Linked DNA regions of Saccharomyces cerevisiae S288C. The protein of the gene in region 4 interacts with the protein of the main gene of each other region in a biochemical or structural test. Each region holds a gene or a part of one and is shown on either strand. Other genes may lie near its edges. The genes, in order: NUP159, ATG4, ATG1 and ATG8.

Region 1 (9,593 bases), on a different chromosome or scaffold from region 4:
CCGGTTATATTGAGACCTTTCCTGGACAGTAACTAATACAGAAGCCATTGGTAATGCAATAATTTATTTGATCATGTGACTACGATCCGGGTGAGACTATTCAAAAAAGGAGTCAAGCATTGAAATAATTAATGACTAATCCGAAGTTAATTGTTAGGAGTCAATTGTTTTTTCCAATGAATGGAATCTGAGATGACTAAACTACCAATTTTCAATAGTTCATGGTATAGTGACGTAGTTAGTGCTTTTTTTTCTTGGATCTGTTGACTCACTTCAATTGATGTTTCTTACCCTGACATGACATACTTGATATTTTATCTCTCACGTTATATAACTTGAAAAGGATGCACACAGTTCTGTTCAATATACCCTCCAATATGTAAAAACAGTTTTTCCATTGATTACTCTTAATTTGTTTCCTGCTAAACCAGCAGTACGTGTGTGCCGTATATATTAAAATTACACTATGGTTTTTGATTTGAAAAGAATTGTTAGACCAAAAATTTATAACTTGGAACCTTATCGCTGTGCAAGAGATGATTTCACCGAGGGTATATTGCTAGACGCCAATGAAAATGCCCATGGACCTACTCCAGTTGAATTGAGCAAGACCAATTTACATCGTTACCCGGATCCTCACCAATTGGAATTCAAGACCGCAATGACGAAATACAGGAACAAAACAAGCAGTTATGCCAATGACCCAGAGGTAAAACCTTTAACTGCTGACAATCTGTGCCTAGGTGTGGGATCTGATGAGAGTATTGATGCTATTATTAGAGCATGCTGTGTTCCCGGGAAAGAAAAGATTCTGGTTCTTCCACCAACATATTCTATGTACTCTGTTTGTGCAAACATTAATGATATAGAAGTCGTCCAATGTCCTTTAACTGTTTCCGACGGTTCTTTTCAAATGGATACCGAAGCTGTATTAACCATTTTGAAAAACGACTCGCTAATTAAGTTGATGTTCGTTACTTCACCAGGTAATCCAACCGGAGCCAAAATTAAGACCAGTTTAATCGAAAAGGTCTTACAGAATTGGGACAATGGGTTAGTCGTTGTTGATGAAGCTTACGTAGATTTTTGTGGTGGCTCTACAGCTCCACTAGTCACCAAGTATCCTAACTTGGTTACTTTGCAAACTCTATCCAAGTCATTCGGTTTAGCCGGGATTAGGTTGGGTATGACATATGCAACAGCAGAGTTGGCCAGAATTTTAAATGCAATGAAGGCGCCTTATAATATTTCCTCCCTAGCCTCTGAATATGCACTAAAAGCTGTTCAAGACAGTAATCTAAAGAAGATGGAAGCCACTTCGAAAATAATCAATGAAGAGAAAATGCGCCTCTTAAAGGAATTAACTGCTTTGGATTACGTTGATGACCAATATGTTGGTGGATTAGATGCTAATTTTCTTTTAATACGGATCAACGGGGGTGACAATGTCTTGGCAAAGAAGTTATATTACCAATTGGCTACTCAATCTGGGGTTGTCGTCAGATTTAGAGGTAACGAATTAGGCTGTTCCGGATGTTTGAGAATTACCGTTGGAACCCATGAGGAGAACACACATTTGATAAAGTACTTCAAGGAGACGTTATATAAGCTGGCCAATGAATAAATAGATTAATTTAAACAGTATATGTACAGTTTTATATATATATATATATATATATACATATATAAAGAAACCTGTGCGTTTTTTGTATTTTCAAATACATTTAGTTTTGGCGCCACTTCTATAAAAGGTCTCATGATATTGTTACAATATCAATTTTTCTTCGTTTCTCATGCCCTGTTTCTATGATAGAGGATGAATTTATTATTAACGGCACTAACAACGTACATATAGCTAAATATCACTATTTTGCCATGTTCAAATTTTTGAAGAAATCACCAATTTGCTTTTTCGTATTCATGGCCAACCCAACTTCTACTACTTTAAATCCTTTCATGTCCTTTGTTATTGAAGAGGATGCATCGAACGACGAAGCCTTTTTACCTTTCTCCTCCAATTGTAACCTACTCACTTGCTCACGCAATAATTTGATTTCTTTTAGTAAACCGTCACGTGCAAGAGATTCTTTAGCTAGTTTTGCCACTAATGGATTATCGTCCAATCTCTTATTCTTTACAGTGAACAATTTTAAAATGTTCAGCAACTCTTCAGTATGATTAATTTTGGCGGACACATCGAATAGCTTTTGACGTAATGTCTTTTGCATTCTAAATTGATGCGTGCTGAGATCTTTAACGTATCCACTCGAAGCATCATCAAAATGCATTAAAAACAGATACTCCTCTTTTGCATTGGCTACATCTTCAGTTATTTGTGCAATATCTTTCCTGACATAATCTGTAACTTTTTCCTTCAGGTCTTGAATGTTAGCATTTGTTATTTGCATTTGTTCACACTTGATATTATTCTGAATATTTAATAGAATTTCAGCCTCTGGTATTCTCCAAGTATACAGATTATTGATAGACCGCACTGTACGCTTCACCAAAGGGATGCTCGATTGATCAGTAAAAAAAGTATCCATATTCCGGATGTTTTCCATCAGAACAGTAAACTCAGCTTCGACCGTCTGAAATGTACTCTCAATCAACCTTAACGTAGAATTTTGTGAAACGAAAGGAATATTTGATACTTTTGCACTTGTGTAATATTCTTTCAATTGCTTTGGTTTGCATTGCTCTGCTAAATAATTTTCGTCACCTTCAAATGTTTGAACAGAAAAATTACATGTTTCAACAGGCTCAGTTTGCAGACCATTGTCGACTGCTTCCTTCTTAACAGTTTGTGTACTGTTGTGTTTCACGGGTATGGCATCCGTTTGAACTTCATTTTCCTTGGAACTTTCTGAAAGGTCTGTCTGTATGCCAGATTCAGCATAATTGTCTTCTAATGAAGTTTGTACATCAAAATCAGCGGAAGCGCTCACTTCACGTGCTTTAAAAGCTTCTCCACCATGAGGTAGCTCATCAGTATTAATATCTTCCAGTTTATCGTAGGACTCAGATATACTTTCATCCCGGTCACTGTTGAGTGACATGTTATCATCTGATTCTTTAACTTCACTGCTTTGTCTACTGTCTTTTTCGCTCGCGTCCTCTTCTGAAGATTGGTGGTCTTCGAATTGCTTTATTGCCATATTTGAATCAAAATTCTCTTTTTCATTGTCTTTTTTCAATGCTATTCCATCTCCTTGGACACCATGATTTGGTTGACCGCTCCTTTCATTATTCTTCGAAGTTTCATTCATTTCTTTAGACTTGTTATCGTGATCAACCACAGCATGTTGACTATATTTTGGGTCTGTTTCGCTTTTTTCATGATTGTTCACGTCCTGTGACTTTGGAATTTCTTCGTTTGCTGTGGTATCAAAAGCACTTTCAGAAGTCCTTACAGATATTTCACTTCCTGATACATAACCATCTTTTGGGTCATCGTTATGATCCTTTTTAGAACTTTCTCCAGTTCTTTCTTCTTTCGCTGGTAGAAACGGATTCTCCACACTCTTCAAGGTTATGGGGCCCTTTTCACTAGTTTCTTTAGTATCAGCTTCTTCCATTGGTGAAACCGTAGATGTATTACTTTTATTCATTGTGGAGTTACCAAACGAAAAAGCAGGTGTTGTAGAGCTTGGTTTGGTAATATTTGTTGCAAATGCTGAAAACGGCGATTCGGATTTTGCTTTGACATGATTTCCAAATACAGGATTTTTTAAACCAGCCATGTCAATATTGGCACTTTTTTTTATAGTTTCAGTTAGCTTGCCTATGGGGGATTTTTGCGCTTCCTCCTCGACAACTTCACCATCTTCATCCGAGGGAGTTTCCGGTAATCTAGTAGAAGATGTTTGCTCAACCGTAGAATCTGTCAAATCATTACCGCTTACGTTGGGACCATTGCTTTCGTGTTCTTCATTATCGTCATTGATTTCACTGGTAGAGCCCTTACTTAAAGATCCATTTTCAGTATCATCTTTTGTGAAGGAACTGAATGGTGATTTGTTTCCTAACTGTGAAGAGAAAGGTGAAGCCTGAGTACCGAATTTAAAAGTTGTATCGGAACCAACAGATTCCAGAGCCTTTGAAAATCCAGATCCAAAGGAAGAACTCCCAAAATCAAAGGCATTGGTCTTTGGTTTCGTAGAGGTGTTAGGTTTCGTACCAAAAGGTGTCGAAGAAGAGTCTACATCACTCTTAGACTCATCTTCACTTTGATCGCCAGAAGATGGGAAAGGTGACGTTGAATCTACCTCCTTTGGGCTGTCAACTGTAGGTTTTGAAATAGTAAAGTTTGATCCGAAAAGTTCATTGTTGGCGGGTGCAAAAGATGATGAACCAAATGCAGCCTTTCCAAATATGGATCCAGAGTTAGTTTCGTTACTTGATGCAGTTCCGAATGCAGATGTACCAAAAGAGGGCTTACCAAAGGCAGATCCGGAAGCAGGCGGCTCAGCAGATGAATTTCCAGAGCCAAAGGAAGGAGTACCAAAAGAGGGCTTACCAAATGCAGATCCGGAGGCAGGCGGCTCAACAGATGAATTTCCAGAGCCAAAGGAAGGAGTACCAAAAGAGGGCTTACCAAAGGCAGATCCGGAGGCAGGCGATTCAACAGATGACTTTCCAGAGCCAAAGGAGGGAGCACCAAAAGATGGCTTGCCAAAGGCATATTCTGATGTTGACGGTTCTTTGGCAATAGCTCCGAACGCGGGTTTGCCGAATACTGGCTTAGCAGAAGCAGGATCTGTTGCGTCTTGTTCACTGGACGCTACACCAGTACTGGTAGATGAGACTGATGGCAAGTCAATTTTAAATGCGGATGATCCAAATGAGGGAGCACCAAAGGTTGAAGAACTTTGAGACTGCAGGCTATTGGCAGCGGCTGGTTGTGTTTTAAGAAAAGTGAAGCCTGATGTATTTGCTGATGTGAAAGGATTCTCTGATAAAGCCTTACTTGATTCATTATTTTTCTTTTTTTCTTCCTGCTCCTGTCCAGCAATAGGAATTTTTTCTGATGTAGGAGAGAGAGATTTCTCATGTTCTAAAGATTCCAGATTTATGCTATAATGGCCGCTTTTGATTGCTGCCACATGAAACAACCCGACTATCTGTAAGCTACCTTCGTTATTCAATATGTAAACGAGCGGCAATCGCTCTATCGTATCAACACCGGAACAAGGTTCTAGAATAGTGCCTGAAGTAACGACGTCAACTGCCACACCTATTGGATTTGTGTCCTTATCTGTTTCCTCACTGATGGGCAATACTGCTCGTTCAGAATCCTGGGAAGGTTCAATAACTTGTTTCGAGTCCCATATACTTACTTCACTTGAACATGATGATGCTAGCACATTTACGTTTGCATCAGGTTCAATTAAACCAGACAAGGTAACTTTGTACATATATGGGAACCTTACTATTTGCCCGAATGGAGGTGTAATATCAAAAGTTTCTTGAAATGAGGCGCTGCCGTCTATGTGCTTTATAATGTACATTTTTTGATCGTATGAAACTTCGTCATCGGTCTCTGATATAACATTACCGAAAACCGCCAAAAAATCCTGTGGAGAGAGAATGGTAACACTCAAAGGGGAATATTCTTCTACTGGAAGCTCTTCTAATTCTGACGGTAGAGAGAACTCAAATTGTTTTTCCATTTCGCCATTTCGCCATGCAAAACTTTGAAAACTTCTATCTTTTAGTAGAACTGCTAACTGCGAATTTGTGACATCAAAAGAGGTAACGTTTTGTGCCAGTTGCTTAGTCGATTTTGTTCTTAAATCCAGTGCTGATAAATCATTGACTGAATTTAAAATTACTAAAGTGTTATTAACGTTCTTCAATTGGAAAACTGGCTTCTCAAAAGAAGTGACCGTTCGAAATTCACTCAATTCCTCCAAGTCTAACGAATATAATGCATTTCTGGTTGAAACCAAAACCTGATCACCATGAAAGCACACAAATATTACATCTGGGATTTCTTTCTCCCACTTGAACGTTAACGGAGTAGAGTCGGAGGTGATATGATCTCTCAGTAATTGTAATTCGCCGACCACCGCCTTACTACCAGAGGCAGCAACGAATAAAGACTTACTGTTTGAAATATCGAGATTTTGTAGAGATGCAAATGGCAGTTTTTCATTGAAGGAAGGTAGAATTTGTTTTTGACCTAAAAACTTAAAACCGAAGTCTTCGGAAGTCTCAGTGGGTACTTCATCCTTCAAAGAAGACATGTTATAATGGTTCTGTAATCAATATATATATATTTATGTGCGTTTCTCTGCTAAAATTGCAATAATGAAATTAAACCTTCACGCAAAATCGTTATTGAAGTTGGAGAGGAGACAAATTAACCTGAGAAATATGAATTGGTGTGAAGCAGCGTATGTGTGACAGAACAAACAAGCCTAAACGCCGATGTCAAACACAATTTTTTCTCCAGTTTATGCGTGCAACTATCCTTCGGTCCTTTGTCTTTTTTTCTCTTTTGATCAAACAATTGAAAAAACACTGGTCGTAGGTCACGATAAAAGTTGCGATGTCCCCTCCCACCTAGTTTCCTAAATACTATTATATAATATTAACTAAACAAACGTCAGAAAAAAAAAAAACTCTATCAAAAGTACAAATCCTTATTTAGTAAAATTTATAAGAAAATAAAATCTCTCAGGGCGAGAACGATAGAGACCAGCCAAATTTGTGGACTGGTTCAGTCAGTTGTAGCGCATTGAAAGACATACCCACACCCAAAGAAATATCTTTATTCAAATTTCGCTTGTACGACAATGTAGTCAGGCCTGAATCTGCAATTTTTGCCTTAACTTGCGAAATAGAATCTGGTACGTATCTGGTAACAAATTCAATGTTCATATTAGAACTTGTCTTCGATTGTAAAGTGGCTTTAGTTCCCACTTGCAAATAGCGGTTAACGTTTTGAAAAAATGAAGCAGTTGCGCATTGCCTGTTGTTAGTAGACAAAATAAACGAATATTCTCTGGCAAGATACCCGATTGACATAGCATAGCGTGCACATAAACCCGCAGCTGTGTCATATGCGATGTCAGTGCCGCCAACAAACCCGCGGTGGCCCAAAGTAACACTTCCGACAAAGTCCTTAGGTTGCAAGATGTCTATAGAAGTTCTTGCTGCAAACGATTTTTGGGCGTAGCTCAAATTAAATTTGGCGTTCTTGATGGATTGGGGAGTCAAAAATGCGTTGACATCACCTTTCCAACCAGGTGCTATCTTGGAAAATTCGATTCTTGTATTTAACCTGTTCTGGTTCGACCAACTCTGAGATAGCGACACTCCCTCCTTCCTGTCATAAAACCGTCCTTCTACGCTAGTTTGGATGGGGCCTTCTGTCACGCCCTGCTTCGCCTTCAGAGTAAAATTCACACCATTTTCCGTGGTTGTTGAAATATTCAAAGAGAGGGGGTTGGTGTGAAAAAAGTCCCTATTGAATAGGCCATTGACATCTCTAGATATATCGTTGAAAAATCGTAGTGCCATCGTAGGTAATTTCTAACACTTTCCTCTTCATGCAATTCCTTCACTCGAGAATAAAACAGAAGAGCTCCATCTTCACTATTCTTTCTTTTCTTTTTGTTCCATTTCTGCAATTGGAAGCGAGAAAAAAGGAAAGGAATTGCTAAAGGCGCTTTCAATCATGTAAGACAAATTAGTATTTGGTTAAAAAATGCAGAAGCTCAGTCGCAGCATAGAAAAAGAACTAAACTTTTAAATGCTGAAAACTACGAACAGATTTTGCAGTGTGTCATTTCTGCGGAATCCGTTATTCGTCTCATTTGCTAGGCAGGGCGCACACTATTGGAATAGGAGATATCTTCCAGATAGAAAAGGGTTTTTGCGTCGTACGGCGCGGCCTTGGCAACTCCCCTTCTGGAACAGGCAACTTCCTAATTAGGTTGCCGCAGCGAATAACTTTAATCAGTTCTTATCCCCTTTATGGTATACTGGGTGATATAAAAGAACGAGTAAGACAAGATCAGCAACAAAGTTGAAGATAATCTATTATCTAAAATAACACATACGGCTGCGCACTTGTAGCCATAATCTCGCATGAACATATACACATCACCCACGCGAACACCGAACATCGCACCAAAGAGTGGCCAAAGACCATCTCTTCCTATGCTGGCCACAGATGAGAGGTCTACGGACAAAGAAAGCCCGAATGAAGACCGTGAATTCGTGCCTTGTTCGAGTTTGGACGTGCGCAGAATCTACCCAAAAGGCCCATTACTTGTTCTCCCGGAAAAGATCTACCTTTATTCAGAGCCCACGGTAAAAGAGCTTTTACCCTTTGATGTGGTCATCAACGTTGCTGAAGAGGCAAACGATTTACGAATGCAGGTTCCTGCTGTCGAGTACCATCACTACCGATGGGAACATGATTCGCAGATTGCGTTGGACTTGCCATCATTGACTAGCATCATACACGCAGCTACGACTAAGCGAGAGAAGATACTGATACATTGCCAATGTGGGCTGTCGAGATCCGCAACGCTGATTATTGCATATATAATGAAATATCATAACTTGAGTCTGAGGCACTCATATGATCTGTTGAAATCAAGGGCAGACAAGATAAACCCTTCCATAGGGCTTATTTTCCAGTTGATGGAATGGGAGGTTGCTCTTAACGCGAAGACTAACGTGCAAGCCAACAGTTATAGAAAAGTACCGTGAGAGAGAAAAAAAAAAAAGATATAGCATTCAATGAGGCTTTATTGAGGGGCACGATGCTCTTTTTTTCTTCTGTACTTTATAAATAATTCCGTATTTCTTCGCTTTGTTTCATGCTCTGTTCTGAGCTTTTAGTTTCTCTTATTGAGAGCCTTTTCCAAATCAAGGCTCAGGAAGTGACTCGTCCTTAGAAGAACAAGGTTTGGATTTGGTAGGGTTCTTGTACGAAGTTCTCAATATAATTTGCGCATTTACTGTACGGTTCATACTAGTTTATTCCGGGTAACAAGTTTTCTTGTGATGCTAAATCAATGTGTATATTGAGAAAACTATGTAGTAAGTTACACAAAGCAACAAAGGATATTATTATATGTGACAGAGAAGAATTGCTGTAGAGATTCATGACAATATGAATGAGACTACTACAAAACAGCCGCTAAAGAAAAGGTCCCTGAGCAGCTATCTTTCAAACGTGAGCACGAGACGGGAGGAGCTGGAAAAGATTTCTAAACAAGAAACATCCGAAGAGGAAGATACTGCCGGCAAGCATGAACAAAGGGAAACACTGTCGGAAGAAGTAAGTGATAAGTTTCCAGAAAATGTTGCATCGTTTCGCTCACAGACTACAAGCGTTCATCAAGCCACCCAAAATAACCTGAATGCAAAGGAATCCGAAGACCTGGCCCATAAGAATGATGCGAGTTCACACGAAGGAGAGGTTAATGGGGACAGCCGTCCGGACGATGTTCCTGAAACGAATGAAAAAATAAGCCAAGCAATACGAGCGAAAATTTCGTCATCATCATCATCACCCAATGTACGTAATGTTGATATCCAAAACCATCAACCTTTTTCGAGAGACCAACTTC
Region 2 (6,855 bases), on a different chromosome or scaffold from region 4:
GCTCAGCTCTTCTTGCTGTGATGCACATAAAAACCCTTTAATATTAGGATATTTTTCTTGTAATATGTGATCTAATTTTGAAGAATTTTCCTCCGAGTCATACAAATCGAAAAACAATATACCAATCGGTATTTCAAACAGCTCGGCCTTTCTTAAGGAGTCAGTGAGACTTAGTAATGCAGTGTGTTTTGTCTGAATAGTATCATTGGCTTTTTCCAACATTTCTTTATTCAGCGAAAGGTCCTTTGTTAGGTTTTCAATCAATACTGTCTGTTCTTCAATTTTTTTTTTGTTATCTAAGGTTTTGTCGTTTGACTTCGTAGCTGCTTCGAGCTCCTTTTGTAAAGAGTTTGCTCTTTCCTCTTGTCTTAGATTATCTCTACCCAATTCAATAACTTTTTTTTGATACCCCAGTATCACATTTTCTAACATTCGAAAATCCTCTTTCGATAAGGAGTTTTGTAGAAAAATTTTGGCACCGTTACAGTCTTCTATCGAGATATCTGGCGATGTATGTTCATCAGTTGGTTGAGCAGAAGCCTGTTCATTTGCCCTCGTAAAATGCTTCGAAGAGTTTTCTCTAGGAGTAGAGTGTATGAAATTGGGTACATCCTTTTTATGAACATCAGTACCTATGGGAGACTTATCTTTTTCGTTTTTTGGTCGTTCTTGTAATCCTGGAGATTCCTGATAACTAGTATTTCTAGCATAATTCATTTGATCCATAGATGGTGATTTGTTCTCTTCATATGAGTCTCTAGCATTGGAAAAGTTGCAATTGATGACATCTTCAGGGTTAACGAATAAAGGTAAGATGGATTTTCCGACATGATTTTCATTTAGCCAGTTTTGTGGGATTGGCTCTCCGTCTTTAATTTCCCCATTCTCTGATACAGGAGAATCCAAACGCTCATGAAATGGAAAATTCATTAAATCGAAATCAGTCATGATGTACAAAAGACCTGTCACTATTTACTAGTGATTATTTTTTGTATGTGTAGATTTCTTCCCGAGGAACGTTAACGTTATTAGTTGTTTTATTACTATAAACGTTCCACAAAAAATTGCCTAACGCCTCACGTCGCGCAACGCGAATTTTCACAAGAAGATGTTATTTACAGTTACGATAATTGAATTGGATATGTAACGAGAAGTTGTACCTAAAACTCCGTATGTGTATATTACCATAGATTTTTCATGGTCTAGTCTAGAAAATAAAAAAATATGTATATACGCAATTGTTAAGAAAATGAGGATTAAAAGCTTGGAAAATATTAACTTTCACTGTGTCTTAAACCCGATCTATTCTTTTTAATTTTGGCAAAAATTGGTTCACTTATACCTTTATTGCCTTGAATACCAAGGCCCTCTCCACTTTTCCACCCAAGCTTTTCCAACATTCTTCTACCGATATTTTCGTTTCCAATCTCTGGAGCGTTTTGACCAACAATCTCACCTTCTTTAACATGAAATTTCCCTCTGATTGTTTTAGTTCTTTCGAAAGCAGCTTGTTCCTCCCTCGGTCTTCTTATATCTATTCTCATGAATACTGGCCTCTGCCTCATCAATTGGTCAATGAGACTATAATTCGGAGAAGACCATTTCGTTTTCTTTATTTTTTCTACAACAACCGACGTATGATTTGCTTTCCCAATTTTTGAACTCTTCATATTATAATGCTTCGCAATTTTCATTACGGTCTTGTTTCCATGAGGATCTAATGGAGGGAAAGTCAGTCTATCATTGTTCCTAGACAAAAAGGACTCAAATTCATCTTTAATATTTTGAATATGGAGTCCATATGGGTATTTCTTGAGCATATCGTTCGAATTTCTATTCTCCTGATCAATGAAATCTTCTTTGGCTTTTCTTTTCTTTGCTTTGGTTTCTATGCGTTTACTAAACTTACTTTGTAACGTCTCCAACGTTTCTGTATCCAGCGCTAAGGCGTCATCGATGAGTAGCTTCTTCTTCTTACCTTTACCCTTAGTTTCCAAGGACTTGGTTTCAAATGTTTTGAATCTTTCTGTATCATGTTTCAATGTGTATGCAATTAGGTCGTCCAGACCCTCTTCAATGTCGCTATGCACAACCGAGGAGGCCATATCTTCATCATCTTCATAGCTGTCGCCTTCATAGCTGTCACCTTCATCACTCGAATCAGAAATCGGAATATCTGAGTAGGTTGGCTCAGCTGGTTCAATTTTTGGTATAAGAGAATTTTTAATAAAATTCAAATATGCAGGTAATCTATCTTCAGGAAGACCTAACTCGTCTACAACGAAGTCTGTGAGTAAGTCCTGGTCAATCCAATGAAAGTCGTAATCTCCCAGTAATCTGTAACACCGTAGATAATATGAATTGTCTACTCCGCCCATTCTTATATTGGAGACCACTATGTCATTAGTATTTATGACAAAATCTTCTTCTTTGAATCCAAATTCTAACTCTTCGCTAGCAGGAGATGGCAGATTATCATTATTGCCTTCGAATGTTTTGGTACCATTTATTGAAAGACATTTTATATCTTCTGTCAACTGCGGACTAGGGCTTGGTAAAAGATTGTTGTCAGCTCGGGAATTGTGACGTTGGCCAACATAATTAAACCCTTGATCAACCTCAGAACTTGCTGAGGATTCGTATAAAGGTTCACTATTATTCTCTGTTTCTATTTCGTAGTCTAGTTCATCATTGTCCGAGTCGCTAGTATGCATACCATGTAATACGTTGGAAATGTAACCAGCAAATGGATGATATGTCTTATTACCCTTATTTGGAACGTCAACACTAATTTCCTTGCTTTCGTTACCTTCGGAAACGCTAAGTTCAACCTTTCCAATTGTTAAGATAGGATCGAACTCTATCGCAACTTCTCTTGGCCTTGCGATTTCCTCGATACATACTCTTTTTATTTTGGTTAGATCCGGCGATTGCTGAGCCTCTTCATCTACAAAAAACAGGTCACCATCTTCAACTTTGCTTTCATTCGAAGACAGCGAGTGGTCCGTCGAGGGTGAATTCTGACTATCATCATCCTCGTTTTCACTGTCTTCATTGTTAATATATTCAACATCAGAAGTCATCTTTCCTGGTTCTTCAAAAACGTCTGCTTCCCTTTCGACAATTTCTTCACTGTTCTTTGTTTCGTTCTTTGCTCTCAGTTTTTGAATCATATTGTGGGATGGATCGTAAACTTCCTTAGCTTTTACAAATTGCATAGGTCTTTTGCGGAATGCTGCCCTTCCTGCTTGTAGGTCAGTTGAAGAATCATATCGATTACCTGGTCTTAAACCACCCATTTTCATAGAACGGCTCTTGGCATCGCGACCAAAATAATAGTCTTCTATAGTTTTTGGTGATATGAATGCTCTTCCTGGGTTGAAGTCGGCGCCTACATCATCAAGATCACCTTCTCCTAGTGGTATAGAAGAGTTATGCCAACTGTTAGTGGGAGTAGGTTTTTTCTTTATCTTTCTGCCTTGTATGCCTTTAGCATTCCCCCTGCCAGCTTTCTTGGAATTGCTACCACGTGCATGCCTACGTCTGCTTCCTTGATAATGACTATGCCTTTTTGCCATTTTTTTTGACGGTTACAACAATTTATGCTTATATTTGACTCTGCGATTAAATCACTTCTTCCTTCTAGAAACTCTGCGCAGGCCTAATTGTTGTTGTTTTGTTCAGATCTTATTTAATTGTAAAATGTCAAATTTCACTTTTATTCTTTAGGCGGTGACCGTTGCAGCTGCCAACAATAGCGCCTCAAAGGAAAAAAGTAAAAATATACACACAATAACGTTAGTAGATGAAGAATGGACGACTTCTTATCACGTATAGGAGTGATATACATGCAGAGGTGGCTACAACTGTGGAAAATGGATTTGGTACAAAAAGTGTCTCATGGCGTTTTTGAAGGCTCGTCCGAAGAACCGGCTGCTCTTATGAATCATGATTATATAGTATTAGGGGAAGTATATCCTGAGCGAGACGAAGAATCTGGCGCTGAACAATGTGAACAAGACTGTCGATATCGCGGTGAAGCGGTTAGTGACGGGTTTTTAAGCTCTCTTTTTGGTAGGGAAATTTCTTCTTACACAAAGGAATTTCTTTTGGATGTACAATCAAGGGTCAACTTTACATATCGGACAAGATTTGTTCCTATAGCAAGGGCGCCAGATGGGCCTTCACCTTTAAGTCTAAATTTATTAGTACGTACAAATCCGATCAGTACAATAGAGGACTATATAGCAAATCCTGATTGCTTTAACACTGATATTGGGTGGGGGTGTATGATAAGGACAGGACAAAGTTTGTTGGGGAATGCCTTACAAATCCTTCATTTGGGCAGAGATTTCAGGGTAAATGGTAACGAAAGTCTGGAAAGAGAATCAAAATTTGTAAATTGGTTTAATGACACGCCTGAGGCTCCATTTTCGTTACATAACTTTGTTTCTGCAGGTACAGAACTCTCTGATAAAAGACCAGGTGAATGGTTTGGTCCCGCAGCTACGGCAAGGAGTATACAATCTTTAATATATGGCTTCCCCGAATGTGGCATCGATGATTGTATAGTATCTGTTTCATCCGGCGATATCTATGAAAATGAAGTTGAAAAAGTATTTGCTGAGAATCCAAATAGTAGAATATTGTTCTTGTTGGGCGTGAAGCTCGGGATTAATGCGGTAAATGAGAGCTATAGAGAAAGTATATGTGGTATCTTAAGTTCAACACAGTCAGTAGGCATTGCCGGCGGTAGGCCGTCTTCATCGTTGTATTTTTTTGGTTATCAAGGAAATGAATTTTTACATTTCGATCCTCATATTCCTCAACCGGCAGTAGAAGATTCATTTGTAGAGTCGTGCCATACCAGTAAATTTGGTAAATTGCAACTATCGGAAATGGATCCCTCGATGCTCATTGGTATTTTGATTAAGGGCGAAAAAGACTGGCAACAATGGAAGCTAGAAGTTGCAGAATCTGCTATTATCAATGTTCTTGCTAAGAGAATGGATGACTTTGATGTGAGTTGTAGTATGGATGACGTGGAAAGTGTAAGTTCTAACTCAATGAAGAAAGATGCAAGCAATAATGAAAATCTCGGAGTACTAGAGGGAGACTACGTAGATATTGGTGCAATATTCCCACACACAACAAATACAGAAGATGTAGACGAATATGATTGTTTTCAAGATATTCATTGCAAGAAACAGAAGATTGTTGTTATGGGAAACACACACACTGTTAATGCGAATTTAACAGATTATGAAGTAGAAGGCGTCCTTGTAGAGAAGGAAACGGTAGGTATTCACAGTCCTATTGATGAAAAATGCTAGTGTAAGGAATTCACTAGTTCATAAGCATATATACTTGTTTTAATATATTCCCTAAAACTGAGGTATCCAGTTCTTTTGTTCTTATTCGTTTGATCATCCTTTACGTATTTTTCGTCTGCGGCAGTGGAAAGAACTTAAAAAACGAAAGATAATAAAGAAAAAGGCCAGTCGGCACGAATTAAAGACCACCTGTAAGAAGATTAAGACAACGGTGGTATAAACTAGTGTCGAAGTCCAAAATGCCTAGTCATCGCAATTCAAACTTGAAGTTTTGCACAGTTTGTGCATCAAACAACAATCGTTCAATGGAATCGCATAAAGTCCTGCAAGAAGCAGGCTATAATGTTAGCTCTTACGGAACAGGTTCAGCTGTGAGACTGCCTGGTCTATCGATAGATAAGCCTAATGTGTACTCATTTGGTACACCCTATAATGATATATATAATGATCTTTTATCACAATCAGCAGACCGTTACAAGTCGAACGGTTTATTGCAAATGCTGGATCGTAATAGAAGACTCAAAAAAGCACCTGAAAAATGGCAAGAAAGTACAAAAGTCTTCGACTTCGTTTTCACTTGTGAAGAGAGATGTTTTGATGCCGTTTGTGAAGATTTGATGAATAGAGGTGGGAAATTAAACAAAATAGTGCATGTAATTAATGTTGACATTAAAGATGATGATGAAAATGCTAAAATTGGTAGCAAAGCTATATTGGAATTAGCTGATATGCTCAATGATAAAATAGAACAATGTGAAAAAGATGACATTCCCTTTGAAGATTGTATAATGGACATTTTAACTGAGTGGCAAAGCTCACATTCTCAACTACCGTCATTATACGCTCCTTCATATTACTAAACAAAACGGTCAATTACTGTAGAAAAGCATAAGCATTAAGCGGCCCTCATGAATCCTACATTATCCGTGAAATTTCAATACTTTCACAAGTCTTCGATAGCTTCCTAGTTATATTCATTATATAATATTACGTTTCTTGTTGCGGCTCTCTTAAGCACATTATTTGCTTGTTGTCCACATAGCTATTTTTTTATCAAGAAGCTTGATATACAACACACTGTATTTTTAGTAAGCTGGACAATGTCTTGTCTCAATGTAGCGTATAACAGGTTTCATTCCAAAACACATCACCAGATATAGGACTGAAATGAAGAAAATAGAAGCATGAAACTTTAAAAGTTTCAGTACTTTAAGAAAGAAATAAATAGAAAAATGTTCCATTTATTTCTGAAAATAAATCAAAAATTATAAGATCCACCCGTTCCTACCAAGACCTTCCAAAATTTTTCCCATAACGGGAACGAGCAAAGTTGAGACTGCTCAAAAGAGCACATCTTCAAACTACAATCCCGACCAAATAATCTCAACAGCCATACCTTCATCATAAACTTAAGTTCATTCGAATCTGCCGTCAAAAACTAAAATGGCACGCTAGAGAAAAGTAGTCAAAAAGAATGCCTCTACAAAGCTCTCTTTTGAAAGGCCCCAGCTCCCCTAACACC
Region 3 (7,962 bases), on a different chromosome or scaffold from region 4:
TAGAGCCAGAAAGATATTTGAGCGTGCCTTCGTGAGAAGAGGCTTAGGTTGAGACGATGATGCTGAAATTATGGCAAGACACGAATTCTTCTTCAAGTTTCCCTTGTCATAATAAGAAGAGAAAAACATACCTTTATGTCGGTTGCAATTAAGAAGGTTGTATAGAGCATCTCAAATGCTGCTTTTACTTTATTAAACGTTGACCAAATAATACGGCGCTTTTGTTTCGACAACGACACACTATGATGCAAAGCGGATCCGGGTAATCGATAAATGGGGGCACCCGGAAATTATTGTAAGTTGAAGAAAGTTAGTGTTGATCTCTAAATGCTTCACAAAAGGGTGGAAGAAGAACATTTTCTCTTGATCAATCATTAATATAGATGGAGGCAGCGTTCTGTCAATCACAGATTATAGTTTATTTATACTTAGTCAAAAATGAGGTTTAGGAGTTCTTCCCATAGCTTAAAACATGTTGACAGAGAATTAAAGGAGTTGATTAATTCGTCCGAGAATGCCAATAAATGCGGTGAATGTGGTAATTTCTACCCAACTTGGTGCTCAGTTAATTTGGGGGTTTTCCTTTGTGGTAGGTGTGCCTCTGTTCATAGAAAAGTTTTCGGTAGCAGAGACGACGATGCCTTTTCTAACGTTAAATCACTATCAATGGATAGATGGACAAGAGAGGATATCGATGAATTAGTGAGTCTTGGAGGCAATAAGGGGAATGCTCGGTTCTGGAATCCTAAAAATGTCCCTTTTCCTTTTGATGGAGATGATGACAAAGCCATCGTGGAGCATTACATTAGAGACAAGTATATTTTGGGTAAATTCAGGTATGATGAAATAAAGCCTGAAGACTTTGGATCCAGAATGGATGATTTTGATGGGGAATCGGACAGGTTTGATGAAAGAAATAGAAGTAGGAGCAGGAGCAGATCTCATTCTTTCTATAAAGGGGGCCATAATAGGTCTGACTACGGCGGTTCCAGGGACTCATTCCAAAGCAGTGGAAGCAGATATTCTAGGCAACTGGCAGAACTCAAGGACATGGGTTTCGGTGATACAAACAAAAATTTAGATGCATTATCGTCCGCTCACGGAAATATCAATAGAGCAATCGATTATCTAGAAAAAAGTTCAAGTTCAAGAAATAGTGTATCGGCAGCAGCGACAACATCAACTCCGCCCCTGCCCAGGAGACGTGCGACAACAAGTGGCCCACAGCCAGCTATTTTTGATGGTACAAATGTAATCACGCCAGATTTTACTTCAAATTCAGCATCTTTTGTACAAGCAAAGCCAGCAGTTTTCGATGGTACCCTTCAACAGTATTACGATCCTGCTACCGGAATGATATATGTAGATCAGCAGCAATACGCCATGGCTATGCAACAGCAGCAACAGCAACAGCAACAGCTTGCTGTCGCACAGGCTCAGGCTCAGGCACAGGCACAGGCACAGGCTCAAGTTCAGGCTCAGGCTCAGGCTCAGGCCCAGGCTCAGGCTCAAGCACAGCAGATCCAGATGCAACAGCTTCAGATGCAGCAACAGCAACAGGCGCCATTATCTTTTCAGCAAATGTCGCAAGGAGGAAACCTGCCACAAGGTTATTTCTACACACAATAAAAATAAGATACATTGCCGCTGCTCCGCATTACATATCATATAGAGTGACACTAAGTAATTAAATGACACTAAGTAACGAAAGATATCTGTAAACAACGACTATATACCAGAATTAGTCATATTCTCTATTGTATTCACCCTACACAGCCGCATTACACAGCTGCTCCGGACGTTTTACGCTGCACATCAATGACTAATACCACTGTATTTGATCCACACTTAGCGCAAAAGTCACCTGGGTGGCGTTTTCCGCTCGCGCTCCGCCGGTGAGAGCGAGAAAAAAAAAAGGGATTGGGCGGTAATGTAAGGAAAACCCACTAGTTAAAATCAATGAGATAAGGAACTCTCTTTTTTTCCCGTTAATCATCTTTTCCTTGTTCGTTTCGTGTATCTGTAATGAATCTTATCGGAGTAACTATTACTGGAAAGCCATACCGTTAAAGAAGCAAGCATATCATTCGTATTCAAGCATCTGTTTTTCTTTTTAACCGCTCGGCTCTGATTTCTTAAACCATTTCCCCCATCAGCATCAGTTTGTGATTTGTAACTATATCGATCGTGGAATCGATGGAATTCTAAGCGTCATTTAGTTGGCAACAAAAGGAATCGAGCATCTCATAAAGGAGCTTATATTATTAATATCTTCCTGATCGTACTATTTTTTTTTAGCTTTTTATTTTTTAGGCCGAGGTTAATTCTAGAACGCCACATTTCATCACCTTTAAGTTAAGTACCAAGGCCATCTTTTACCCTTTTTAGTTTCTGGGGAAACAGAGAACAGTACTATAGAAGATAAAAAGATATAATACAATCGTAGTAATAGTACCCATAATAAAATAACATATAATATAATAAAAACATAAGGCAAAGGAGATAGGAGAATAATCATTGATATCTCCACAAAACGAATTTGAAGCTACCCCATATTTTCAAATCTCTTTTACAACACCAGACGAGAAATTAAGAAAATGGGAGACATTAAAAATAAAGATCACACAACCTCTGTGAACCATAATCTAATGGCAAGTGCAGGAAATTACACCGCTGAGAAAGAAATCGGAAAGGGTTCGTTTGCCACTGTATATAGAGGGCATCTGACATCCGACAAATCTCAGCATGTAGCCATAAAGGAAGTATCAAGGGCGAAATTAAAAAATAAGAAATTACTAGAGAATTTGGAAATAGAAATCGCTATCTTGAAGAAAATCAAGCATCCTCATATCGTCGGACTTATTGACTGTGAACGAACATCAACAGATTTTTATTTGATCATGGAGTACTGTGCTCTTGGGGACCTAACATTTCTGTTGAAAAGGCGTAAAGAATTGATGGAGAATCATCCTCTACTAAGGACCGTATTTGAAAAATACCCTCCACCGAGTGAGAACCATAACGGCCTGCATAGAGCGTTTGTCTTGAGTTATTTACAGCAGTTAGCGTCCGCTTTGAAATTTTTGAGGTCTAAAAACTTGGTTCATAGAGACATCAAGCCTCAAAACTTACTATTATCTACACCCCTAATTGGATATCATGATTCAAAAAGCTTCCATGAACTTGGATTTGTTGGGATCTACAACTTACCCATTTTAAAGATAGCAGATTTCGGGTTTGCAAGATTTTTGCCAAACACGTCATTAGCAGAAACTCTTTGTGGCTCACCATTATATATGGCACCAGAAATTTTGAATTATCAAAAATATAACGCTAAAGCAGATCTGTGGTCTGTCGGTACAGTGGTATTCGAAATGTGCTGTGGCACCCCACCGTTTAGAGCTTCCAATCATTTGGAGTTATTCAAGAAAATTAAAAGAGCAAACGATGTCATAACGTTTCCTTCATATTGCAATATTGAACCAGAGTTAAAAGAGTTGATATGTAGTTTATTGACATTTGATCCAGCCCAAAGAATAGGATTTGAGGAGTTTTTTGCTAACAAGGTAGTCAACGAAGACTTGTCTTCTTATGAATTGGAAGATGATTTACCTGAGTTAGAATCCAAATCAAAAGGTATTGTAGAAAGTAATATGTTCGTTTCTGAGTATTTATCTAAACAGCCAAAGAGTCCGAACAGTAATCTTGCAGGTCATCAATCAATGGCAGATAATCCCGCGGAGCTCAGTGATGCCCTCAAGAACAGCAATATATTAACTGCCCCAGCCGTTAAAACAGACCATACACAAGCCGTAGATAAAAAGGCTTCAAATAATAAATACCATAATAGCCTAGTTTCAGATAGAAGCTTTGAAAGAGAATATGTGGTGGTAGAGAAGAAATCGGTTGAAGTTAATTCATTGGCAGACGAGGTTGCTCAAGCAGGATTCAATCCAAATCCTATTAAGCACCCAACTTCAACTCAAAATCAGAACGTCTTATTGAATGAGCAATTCTCTCCAAACAATCAACAGTATTTTCAAAATCAAGGAGAAAATCCGAGGTTACTGAGGGCCACATCATCTTCCAGTGGAGGTAGTGATGGGTCTAGGCGACCATCTTTGGTGGATAGACGCTTGTCTATATCCTCGCTGAATCCATCTAATGCATTATCAAGAGCCCTCGGTATTGCATCAACGAGATTGTTTGGTGGTGCAAATCAACAGCAGCAACAGCAACAAATCACATCTTCCCCACCGTACAGTCAAACTTTGTTGAATTCCCAACTTTTTCATGAACTTACTGAGAATATAATATTAAGAATAGATCACCTACAGCATCCAGAGACACTGAAATTAGATAATACTAATATCGTTAGTATTTTGGAATCTCTGGCCGCAAAGGCATTTGTTGTTTACTCTTATGCAGAAGTGAAATTTTCTCAAATTGTTCCATTATCAACAACATTAAAAGGCATGGCTAACTTTGAGAACAGGCGCAGTATGGATAGTAATGCTATTGCAGAAGAACAAGACTCAGACGATGCAGAAGAAGAGGATGAAACGTTGAAAAAGTACAAGGAAGATTGCTTATCCACGAAAACTTTTGGAAAGGGTAGAACTTTATCTGCCACATCTCAGTTGAGTGCAACTTTCAATAAACTACCACGTTCGGAAATGATCCTTCTATGTAATGAGGCCATTGTCTTATATATGAAGGCATTATCCATTTTATCAAAATCTATGCAGGTAACGTCCAACTGGTGGTATGAATCTCAAGAAAAATCATGTTCTCTAAGAGTTAACGTGTTGGTACAGTGGCTAAGGGAAAAATTTAATGAATGTTTAGAAAAAGCTGATTTCCTGAGATTAAAAATTAACGACTTGAGATTCAAGCATGCTTCTGAGGTAGCTGAAAATCAAACTTTGGAAGAAAAAGGTAGTTCGGAAGAGCCAGTATATTTAGAAAAGCTATTATATGATCGTGCATTAGAAATATCTAAGATGGCCGCACATATGGAATTAAAAGGAGAAAATTTGTACAACTGTGAATTAGCTTATGCAACTTCACTTTGGATGTTAGAAACTTCTCTGGACGATGATGATTTTACGAATGCCTATGGTGACTACCCTTTTAAAACTAACATACATCTAAAAAGTAACGACGTTGAAGATAAAGAGAAGTATCATAGTGTGTTGGATGAAAATGACAGAATAATCATAAGAAAGTATATTGATAGTATTGCAAACAGGTTGAAAATATTGAGGCAGAAGATGAACCACCAAAATTAAGTGATGCATAATATGGTTTTCTTATTAAGTACAAATGACCTGCTATATTTTCAAGTATCTTCATGATTATGTTATGCTACTCTCGAAATGCTTTACGAGTTCGTCATTAAAGTATTCAAATTTTATTTTCCCTTTGTGTTTTGTTTTGTTTTTATTTCTACGTGATTTTTTTCTTGAAATCCAGCTCTTTTATACCTGGATGGGTTTTATTTTGATGTTTAAATGTTAATTAAGGAAATTATTGAATTCCTTCGGTTTCGGTGTGTTTTTTTCTTTTTAAGTTTTTTTTTGTTGCGTTTAGTACTTGCCTTTGGCTATACATATCCTTTTAATCTAATTTTTATTTCTTCAAAATTTGATTCTTTAACCTTTTGTTCTATATATATATATAAATGTATGTATGTATGATTTGATTGAGGAGGCTTTAACAAGTCATTAATATCTTTATTATTTTTACTTGTTGAGTTCATTAAAATTCATTTTATAATTTGTTGTTACAAACAGTATTTTACAAGTCATAATAAACGTTCAAAAACAAACACAATATTAAAAGAATTGGTATTAGGATCCGACATGACAATTAACTTAGATCCTTCTATCAAGTTTCTAATCATATATTACATCTATTAAAATAATTTACATATATCATGCTAAAGCTTATAAAGAGACATTCTTCTTCTCGTGCGCTGGGCGTCGCTAGCCTCAAATACAAGTGATGCGTCTGCTTCTATTCTAAGGTCATCCTTGCTGTTAGATTTCCCTTCTACCAGGTGGGCTTTTATACGTTGAGGTACATTACCGACAGGCGTAAGAGTAGAGCTCAAACTTGCTTCCGTACTCTCAAAGGGATATTCTCCTACAGGAGACATAGTTGTATATTGTGGAAACTCACAAGAATTCACTCTTAATGAACTTCCACTCTCACCTATCAAGCATTGTTGATCACCGATTGCTGGGGCATCCTGAATACTGATCTGAGATGCAAAAGCGGTGGATGATGTGAAAGAGGAAAAGGACGAATAGGATGACTCTCTAGAACCGATGTTGTGATATGCTGAGGGTGATAAGGTATTTGCGTCGTATATTGATGGAGAATATGTTGAATTTCTGTCAGCACCAGTCCTAAGGTTATTGTGGTCAAAATTTTCCATATAAACGCTATCTAAAGAGGCGAATGATGAATTCACTGGTAGGCTGACCAATTCTACCCTTTTGCATGAAGAGGGCGGTGAAACTTTCAACTCATGAAACGTCTCCAAATTGGTCAATACGGATGCTGCATCGCTTTTACCATAATGGCACATAAACGGATGTACCTTGATGTCTGCTAGTTTTATCCGTTTGTCAGGATCTTTTTGTAACAGCTTCTTCAATAAATCTTTGGCATCAGTGTATTCTTCCATTGTGATTCCCGAAGTGGCACCATTCAACATTTCCTCATAAGATGGAAATTCTAAGGGTTTATTGATAATACTGTCGAAAAGTTCTAATCCTGAATTGGCGTTGAAAGGCAACTTTCCAAACAACAAGCAGTATATAGTGACCCCCAATGACCAGATATCGATGGCAGATGAGCAGGAATACTCTTTTTCAGTGGAGCAAAGCTCAGGTGCAAAAAAAGCAGGGGTCCCTAAGGCTCTAGATTTTAAAAGTTGTTCATGCGATGATTGTATATTAGTACTTCCGGTGGCAGTTGACATAGCAACGCCAAAATCGGATATTTTCACCGTTCCGTTTGATGAAATTAACAGGTTCGATGGTTTGATATCTCGATGCGTTATCCCTTGGGAATGTAAATACTCCAGACCCGATACTACATCCAACACTACCTTCCTCGACTGTTGGAAAGTGAGTATTGATGGTCCCACTGCTTTTATCTCCATTTTGTTTTCTGGACACCATTTAACGGGTCCCCTTGAGCAATATTCTAATACAAGATAAACCTTTGTGCTCTCAGGGTCATTCAAAATTTCATACAATTCCACAACGTTTTCATGATGACATCTTTTCATTACTTCAATTTCTTGATTAACCCTTGGATTTTCTACTTTCAATTGAAGAGAATACCCGCTTCTTTTTTCGAATCTATTAAGAATTTTTATTGCAACCAACGCACCTGTCCCGAGATCTCTTGCTAATTTCACTTTGCCGTACTGTCCATTACCCAAAGTGGCTAAAATTTCAAAGTTGTTAAGGATTTGTCTCTTAGTTAAGGGATTATATAATAGTTTGACTTTTCTTGTCTCTTTTATACGACTACTACTATTGCTCGCATTATTATATAACAGAGATGATCGAGGCAGCGGCTGAACAGGTTCTTTAAGTAGTACCATATTCTTCAAAGCTTCCTTTTTATATGCAGAATATGTGCGCAGCAATTTCAAGGCGTAGAGTACGAGTCACTAGAGGCTCGAGCATTATATACCACTTACAAGTAGTGTTTCTTATTGGGGACACCTGTCCTAACAATGTATGGCTTTATATACCGCGCGGATAAGTAAGGCACACCCGCTCTTCGTATAATACCCGCACAAAAGATTCAGGGACCGGGTATGCTCAACGAAAAAAATAGCCAAGATTGTTGCGAGTCCTCATCAATGAGGACATACAGAGAATAAAAACAGCCATATTTTGCTTGCTGAAGGACGTTGTGCAAACCGAAGATATCAGC
Region 4 (5,932 bases):
GTACTGGTATTGTTCATAACGCTCCCGCTTTCGGTGAAGAGGATAATGCTGCTTGTTTGAAGAACGGCGTCATATCCGAAGATTCAGTGTTACCTAACGCCATTGATGACCTTGGTAGATTCACGAAAGACGTTCCTGATTTTGAGGGTGTTTATGTCAAGGACGCTGATAAGTTGATTATTAAGTACTTAACTAATACTGGAAATTTGTTATTGGCATCCCAAATTCGCCATTCCTATCCATTCTGTTGGAGATCCGATACCCCATTGTTATACCGTTCTGTTCCAGCTTGGTTCGTTCGTGTTAAAAACATTGTCCCTCAAATGTTGGATTCTGTGATGAAATCTCACTGGGTTCCTAACACCATCAAGGAAAAGAGGTTCGCCAACTGGATCGCCAATGCCCGTGACTGGAACGTTTCCAGAAATAGATATTGGGGTACTCCAATTCCTTTATGGGTTTCAGACGATTTTGAGGAGGTCGTCTGTGTTGGTTCTATCAAAGAATTGGAAGAATTGACCGGTGTGCGTAACATCACTGACTTGCATCGTGATGTCATTGACAAATTGACAATTCCATCCAAGCAAGGTAAGGGTGACTTAAAGAGAATTGAAGAAGTTTTTGATTGTTGGTTTGAATCTGGTTCTATGCCTTATGCTTCTCAACATTATCCATTTGAAAACACAGAAAAATTTGACGAAAGAGTTCCAGCTAATTTCATCTCTGAAGGTTTGGATCAAACAAGAGGTTGGTTCTACACGTTAGCTGTCTTAGGTACCCATCTATTTGGCTCTGTTCCATACAAGAACGTCATCGTCTCTGGTATTGTCTTAGCTGCCGATGGTAGAAAGATGTCTAAATCCTTGAAAAATTACCCTGATCCATCCATTGTTCTGAACAAATATGGTGCGGATGCATTAAGATTGTACTTGATAAACTCACCTGTTTTAAAAGCTGAAAGTTTGAAATTCAAAGAAGAGGGTGTTAAGGAGGTTGTTTCAAAGGTCTTACTACCATGGTGGAACTCCTTTAAATTTTTGGACGGTCAAATTGCCTTGTTGAAAAAGATGTCTAACATCGACTTCCAATATGATGATTCTGTGAAAAGTGATAATGTCATGGACAGATGGATTTTAGCTTCTATGCAATCTCTAGTACAATTCATTCACGAAGAAATGGGTCAGTACAAATTATACACTGTCGTTCCAAAACTTTTGAATTTCATTGATGAATTGACAAACTGGTATATTAGATTTAATCGTCGTCGTTTGAAGGGTGAAAACGGTGTTGAGGACTGTTTGAAAGCATTAAATTCTTTATTCGATGCCTTATTCACATTTGTCCGTGCCATGGCTCCATTCACCCCATTTTTGTCAGAAAGCATTTATTTGAGACTGAAGGAATACATCCCAGAAGCTGTCTTAGCAAAATACGGTAAGGACGGAAGATCAGTCCATTTCTTATCTTACCCAGTGGTCAAGAAAGAATACTTTGACGAGGCCATCGAAACTGCAGTTTCTAGAATGCAATCCGTTATCGATTTGGGTAGAAACATTCGTGAAAAGAAAACTATTTCCTTAAAAACTCCATTGAAGACTTTGGTCATCCTTCACAGTGATGAATCATACTTGAAGGATGTAGAAGCCTTGAAAAACTACATTATCGAGGAATTAAATGTTCGTGATGTTGTTATCACCTCCGATGAGGCAAAATATGGTGTTGAGTATAAAGCAGTTGCTGATTGGCCTGTATTGGGTAAGAAGTTGAAAAAAGACGCAAAGAAGGTTAAAGATGCCCTACCATCAGTCACTTCTGAGCAAGTACGGGAATATTTGGAAAGCGGAAAGTTGGAGGTTGCCGGTATTGAACTGGTTAAAGGAGATTTGAATGCTATTAGAGGCTTGCCAGAATCTGCTGTCCAAGCTGGACAAGAAACCAGAACCGACCAAGACGTGTTAATCATCATGGATACAAATATTTACTCTGAACTAAAGAGTGAAGGTCTCGCAAGAGAGCTGGTCAACAGAATCCAAAAATTGAGAAAGAAGTGTGGTTTGGAAGCCACCGACGATGTTTTAGTGGAGTACGAATTAGTTAAAGATACTATCGACTTTGAAGCCATTGTCAAAGAACATTTTGATATGTTAAGCAAGACCTGTAGATCCGACATTGCCAAATATGACGGCTCAAAGACAGACCCAATTGGTGATGAAGAACAATCTATTAATGACACCATTTTCAAATTAAAAGTGTTCAAATTATGAAAACAACTCATATAAATACGTACAAATTTTTCTCTACTCGAAGTGATATAGATGTATATGTGTAAGTTTACGTTTAAGTTAGAGTCATGTAATGCTAACTGTCTCCACCGATAATGTTGTATAATACCCGTGAAATCATAGCACATGATATATCATCACCCGGAGGCCGGTTATTTTCGGCGGCGGCAAAAATATTTGGTATAATTATGGAAATACAAAAAGGGGAACCATTAAAGGTTGAGGAGGGGATTGATAAGAGAATCTAATAATTGTAAAGTTGAGAAAATCATAATAAAATAATTACTAGAGACATGAAGTCTACATTTAAGTCTGAATATCCATTTGAAAAAAGGAAGGCGGAGTCGGAGAGGATTGCTGACAGGTTCAAGAATAGGATACCTGTGATTTGCGAAAAAGCTGAAAAGTCAGATATTCCAGAGATTGATAAGCGTAAATATCTAGTTCCTGCTGACCTTACCGTAGGGCAATTTGTTTATGTTATAAGAAAGAGAATTATGCTACCCCCTGAGAAGGCCATCTTCATTTTTGTCAATGATACTTTGCCACCTACTGCGGCGTTGATGTCTGCCATATATCAAGAACACAAGGATAAGGACGGGTTTTTGTATGTCACTTACTCAGGAGAAAATACATTTGGCAGGTAGTCTTTTATATGAAAAGAAATGAAGCGTTAACATCTAAAATCGAAATTATAGGGACTCATTAGCCATCTATTGTTCCAGTATAAGAATGTTTACATAAAAAATTCGAAAAAAAAAGATAAAATAAGGGAAAAATATATATATATTCATTAAGAAGTTTTGTACACAACGGAGCCAAGATTTCACCAGTATTTGGAGACAAATGTGAGCACGTTATGGTATTTACTTACAGATTACGATCTGTTCAATGCATCAGAAATAGGAAGAAATTCAAAATAAAATAAAAAAAATATTAGGAAGGAGTGAAAAAGCAAATAAGATGATACAGTAAGGTGGAGTTAATGTCTTTCTTCTCCAAAATGTATTCTTGCTAACCAAAAATCTGATTCTCTCTGACCTGTTCGTTTGTCTTATGTATGTAGAATCAATTTCTTACAGAATTTTAAATACTGTATAGTGGAAAAGAATAATAAATAAATACTCGACTATATTTACCTTTATCTTAAGGAAAAGTTCACTCGATATTCTTAACTTTACCGTCTAGTAAGGCCTCTTTATTACATTAAAATATACACGTACATTACCCTGCTATCTATATGTCGAACATGAATTTTTATTCTTTGTAGAAACAAATCCCCAAATTATTGCCGCTGTTCTTAACGTACTTTTCAATTGGATCATTATCAATTTTGTATTCCTTCAAGTGAATGATATCGTTGTAGGAAATAATGTCCCTAAATTTCCTGTCCGATTTGTACCATTCGTGAATTAACCAGGTCATTTCTTTATTAAATACGGAATTATCGGAATCTGATGTCTCGATTAGTTCTTTTAAAATATAGTACATTTTGTTGAAAGAAACACCCGCTGTTATGAATATAGAAACTATCGACCCTGATACAATATGTTCCTTAGGTAGTGTTTCGTAGAAAAAATTACAGACAATGGGAAAGAGTTCGAAAATGGGGAAAATGAATTCAGAATCCTGAACATTTTTACCAATTTTAATCAGTACATTAGACAGTAAGTTGATGAAGTTCATTGAATCTTCTTTCTTTCCGGTATTATTAAATTCCATCCTCAAAGATTGGAATAGCTCATCCCACTTGGCCATAATTACTTCATGGTCCCTAAAATCTGCTATCTTGAAAATGAATAGGGCAATTTCATGGTAACTTAAGGGTACAGCAAAATCATTAAACAGCTCACTTGTGCTCAATATTTTACCATCTAGAGTTTTGATCAGCTCATCTTTAATGGCTGAATCTATTCTTGCGTCTGTATACACGAGCGACAATATATCACCTTGAATACCAGCAACTTCACATGCATCTTGGATCCTACTAGCTAATTGTACAATTCTTTGTTTCTGGCTTAATGGTGACACACTGTTGCAAAAACCATTGGCGCGTGAAAGAAACTCAATTCTTTCAAACAATGTGATGTCAAAATTCGATGTAGCTAAACGGTAAAGAATTTCAGCAGATTCGAAAAATTTAGATCTTCTTGAATAATAGACCCAGAGTATATTAGATATCTTCAATGAACTACCTGCCTTTTCCATTAAATAAGGGAGTATGAATGGAGTTTCAATATCTAATAGTTTTTCCTCTCTGTTCTGAGACACAAGCCAATCATACATATGATAGTGGAATAATCTATCGTTATATTTTAGGGCGGCTTCATAACTTTTTTGTCTCAGTTTCACTTCATCGTCATTCGATATCGAAATTTGGTTTTGAGTTTTTGATGACTGTTTTTTTTCGGCAAGTTCGTCTACTTTTATTAAAGTATCAAAAACTAGGTCATAAACTAAGATACGTTTGTCGTAATATTGTTTCCTATCATCATTTTCTAAAAATCCATTTGCCACATATTGACAAGCTAGTTTGCCTTTGTCCATAGAGTTGGCAATATTCAATAAGAATTCAATAGATTTTGGGTAATAATTTACACTCAGCATCATTGATACAGCTTCTTTCAATTTCTCGATAGAAAGATCATCCACAATTTGTTCAAGTAAAGCAGTAGCATTTTTCAGGTGATAGTTTAGAGAATCATAGTTACGCAAGCCAATTTCTTTAGCCCTTCTAAGATGTTCAATGGCTCTAAATCCTAATATATCACTTGCAGAGCAGAATGATCCACAGCGTTCTTGTAAAGCTGTTGCGGTATACTCTATCGACGCACCTTTGGTGATATTCCTATTGATGATGGATAATAAAATTTCTCTAATTAATGATTTTGTTTTGTCATTTGGAGCAAATAAATCTTTAAAATCTAGTTTGACTAAATCTTTTTGGACGTCCAAGCTTACAAAACTGATTATATCCTTGAAACCAAGGTATTGGTTGTCGAATCCTTCGACTTCGCTTTCCTCGTATAAAACGTTCAAGAATGATAGACCTTCCTTTATGGACTGTACCATTTTGATCATCGCATTAATCGCTATACTTTCCGCTTGGTTTGCAACTTCTTCTGTTTTATCAATAACCCTGCCGTTAGAATTGTTCGCTAATACGTAGGGAGCTGATATTTGGGAAATTGAATCACCATAAGTGATGAAAAATTCATTTAAAATGTTAATTGAAGATAGATAGTACTCGATACAATCCTTGGAAATAGAAACCTTTGATATTATGTTCCTATTTTGTGAAATTTCATCACTTTTTAGGTTATTAATAGATGGAGTGATTGGATCAGAAGAAGAAATGAAAGCATGGGATGTCACCCTATTATCTGTAAAAGTCATGAAGACATGTCTCCCCCAAATATCTCGAAGTAGTCTGGTAATCAATAATGCAATACCGTAAAATCTGGGGGATAATATTACGTCATCTAAGTCAAAATCTTCCTTGTTTGCAGGGGAGGGTTTACTAAAGCCAGTTATTGATTGTTGGAGATTAGTTGTTGCGGTTGATAAAGTGGGCTTTGACAATAAAGAGGATACTGTAGATACAGAATAACGGTTGTAGACAGGTTTGATGTCAACAACGCCAGGAATAC

Evidence for each region.
Region 1: the proteins of ATG8 (region 4) and NUP159 form a complex in vitro, tested with the Saccharomyces cerevisiae proteins (2 studies listed by BioGRID).
Region 2: the proteins of ATG8 (region 4) and ATG4 form a complex in vitro, tested with the Saccharomyces cerevisiae proteins (5 studies listed by BioGRID, with this or other methods).
Region 3: the proteins of ATG8 (region 4) and ATG1 form a complex in vitro, tested with the Saccharomyces cerevisiae proteins (3 studies listed by BioGRID, with this or other methods).

Annotation. Positions count from the first base shown.
Region 1 is NC_001141.2:142,462-152,054, forward strand, and holds NUP159 (FG-nucleoporin NUP159), read right to left. Parts: upstream 6,249-9,593; coding exon 1,866-6,248; downstream 1-1,865. Other genes in the region: HIS5 (histidinol-phosphate transaminase), read left to right, coding at 467-1,624; putative porin POR2, read right to left, coding at 6,682-7,527; mitogen-activated protein kinase tyrosine protein phosphatase SDP1, read left to right, coding at 8,098-8,727; HOS4 (Hos4p), read left to right, coding at 9,134-9,593. UniProt on the Saccharomyces cerevisiae protein: Functions as a component of the nuclear pore complex (NPC).
Region 2 is NC_001146.8:223,522-230,376, forward strand, and holds ATG4 (cysteine protease ATG4), read left to right. Parts: upstream 1-3,848; coding exon 3,849-5,333; downstream 5,334-6,855. Other genes in the region: CNM67 (Cnm67p), read right to left, coding at 1-948; SQS1 (Sqs1p), read right to left, coding at 1,275-3,578; SSU72 (RNA polymerase II subunit A C-terminal domain phosphatase), read left to right, coding at 5,573-6,193. UniProt on the Saccharomyces cerevisiae protein: Cysteine protease that plays a key role in cytoplasm to vacuole transport (Cvt) and autophagy by mediating both proteolytic activation and delipidation of ATG8.
Region 3 is NC_001139.9:157,468-165,429, forward strand, and holds ATG1 (serine/threonine protein kinase ATG1), read left to right. Parts: upstream 1-2,597; coding exon 2,598-5,291; downstream 5,292-7,962. Other genes in the region: GTS1 (Gts1p), read left to right, coding at 439-1,629; serine/threonine protein kinase TOS3, read right to left, coding at 5,942-7,624. UniProt on the Saccharomyces cerevisiae protein: Serine/threonine protein kinase involved in the cytoplasm to vacuole transport (Cvt) and found to be essential in autophagy, where it is required for the formation of autophagosomes.
Region 4 is NC_001134.8:77,375-83,306, reverse strand, and holds ATG8 (ubiquitin-like protein ATG8), read left to right. Parts: upstream 1-2,575; coding exon 2,576-2,929; downstream 2,930-5,932. Other genes in the region: isoleucine--tRNA ligase ILS1, read left to right, coding at 1-2,264; NUP170 (Nup170p), read right to left, coding at 3,540-5,932.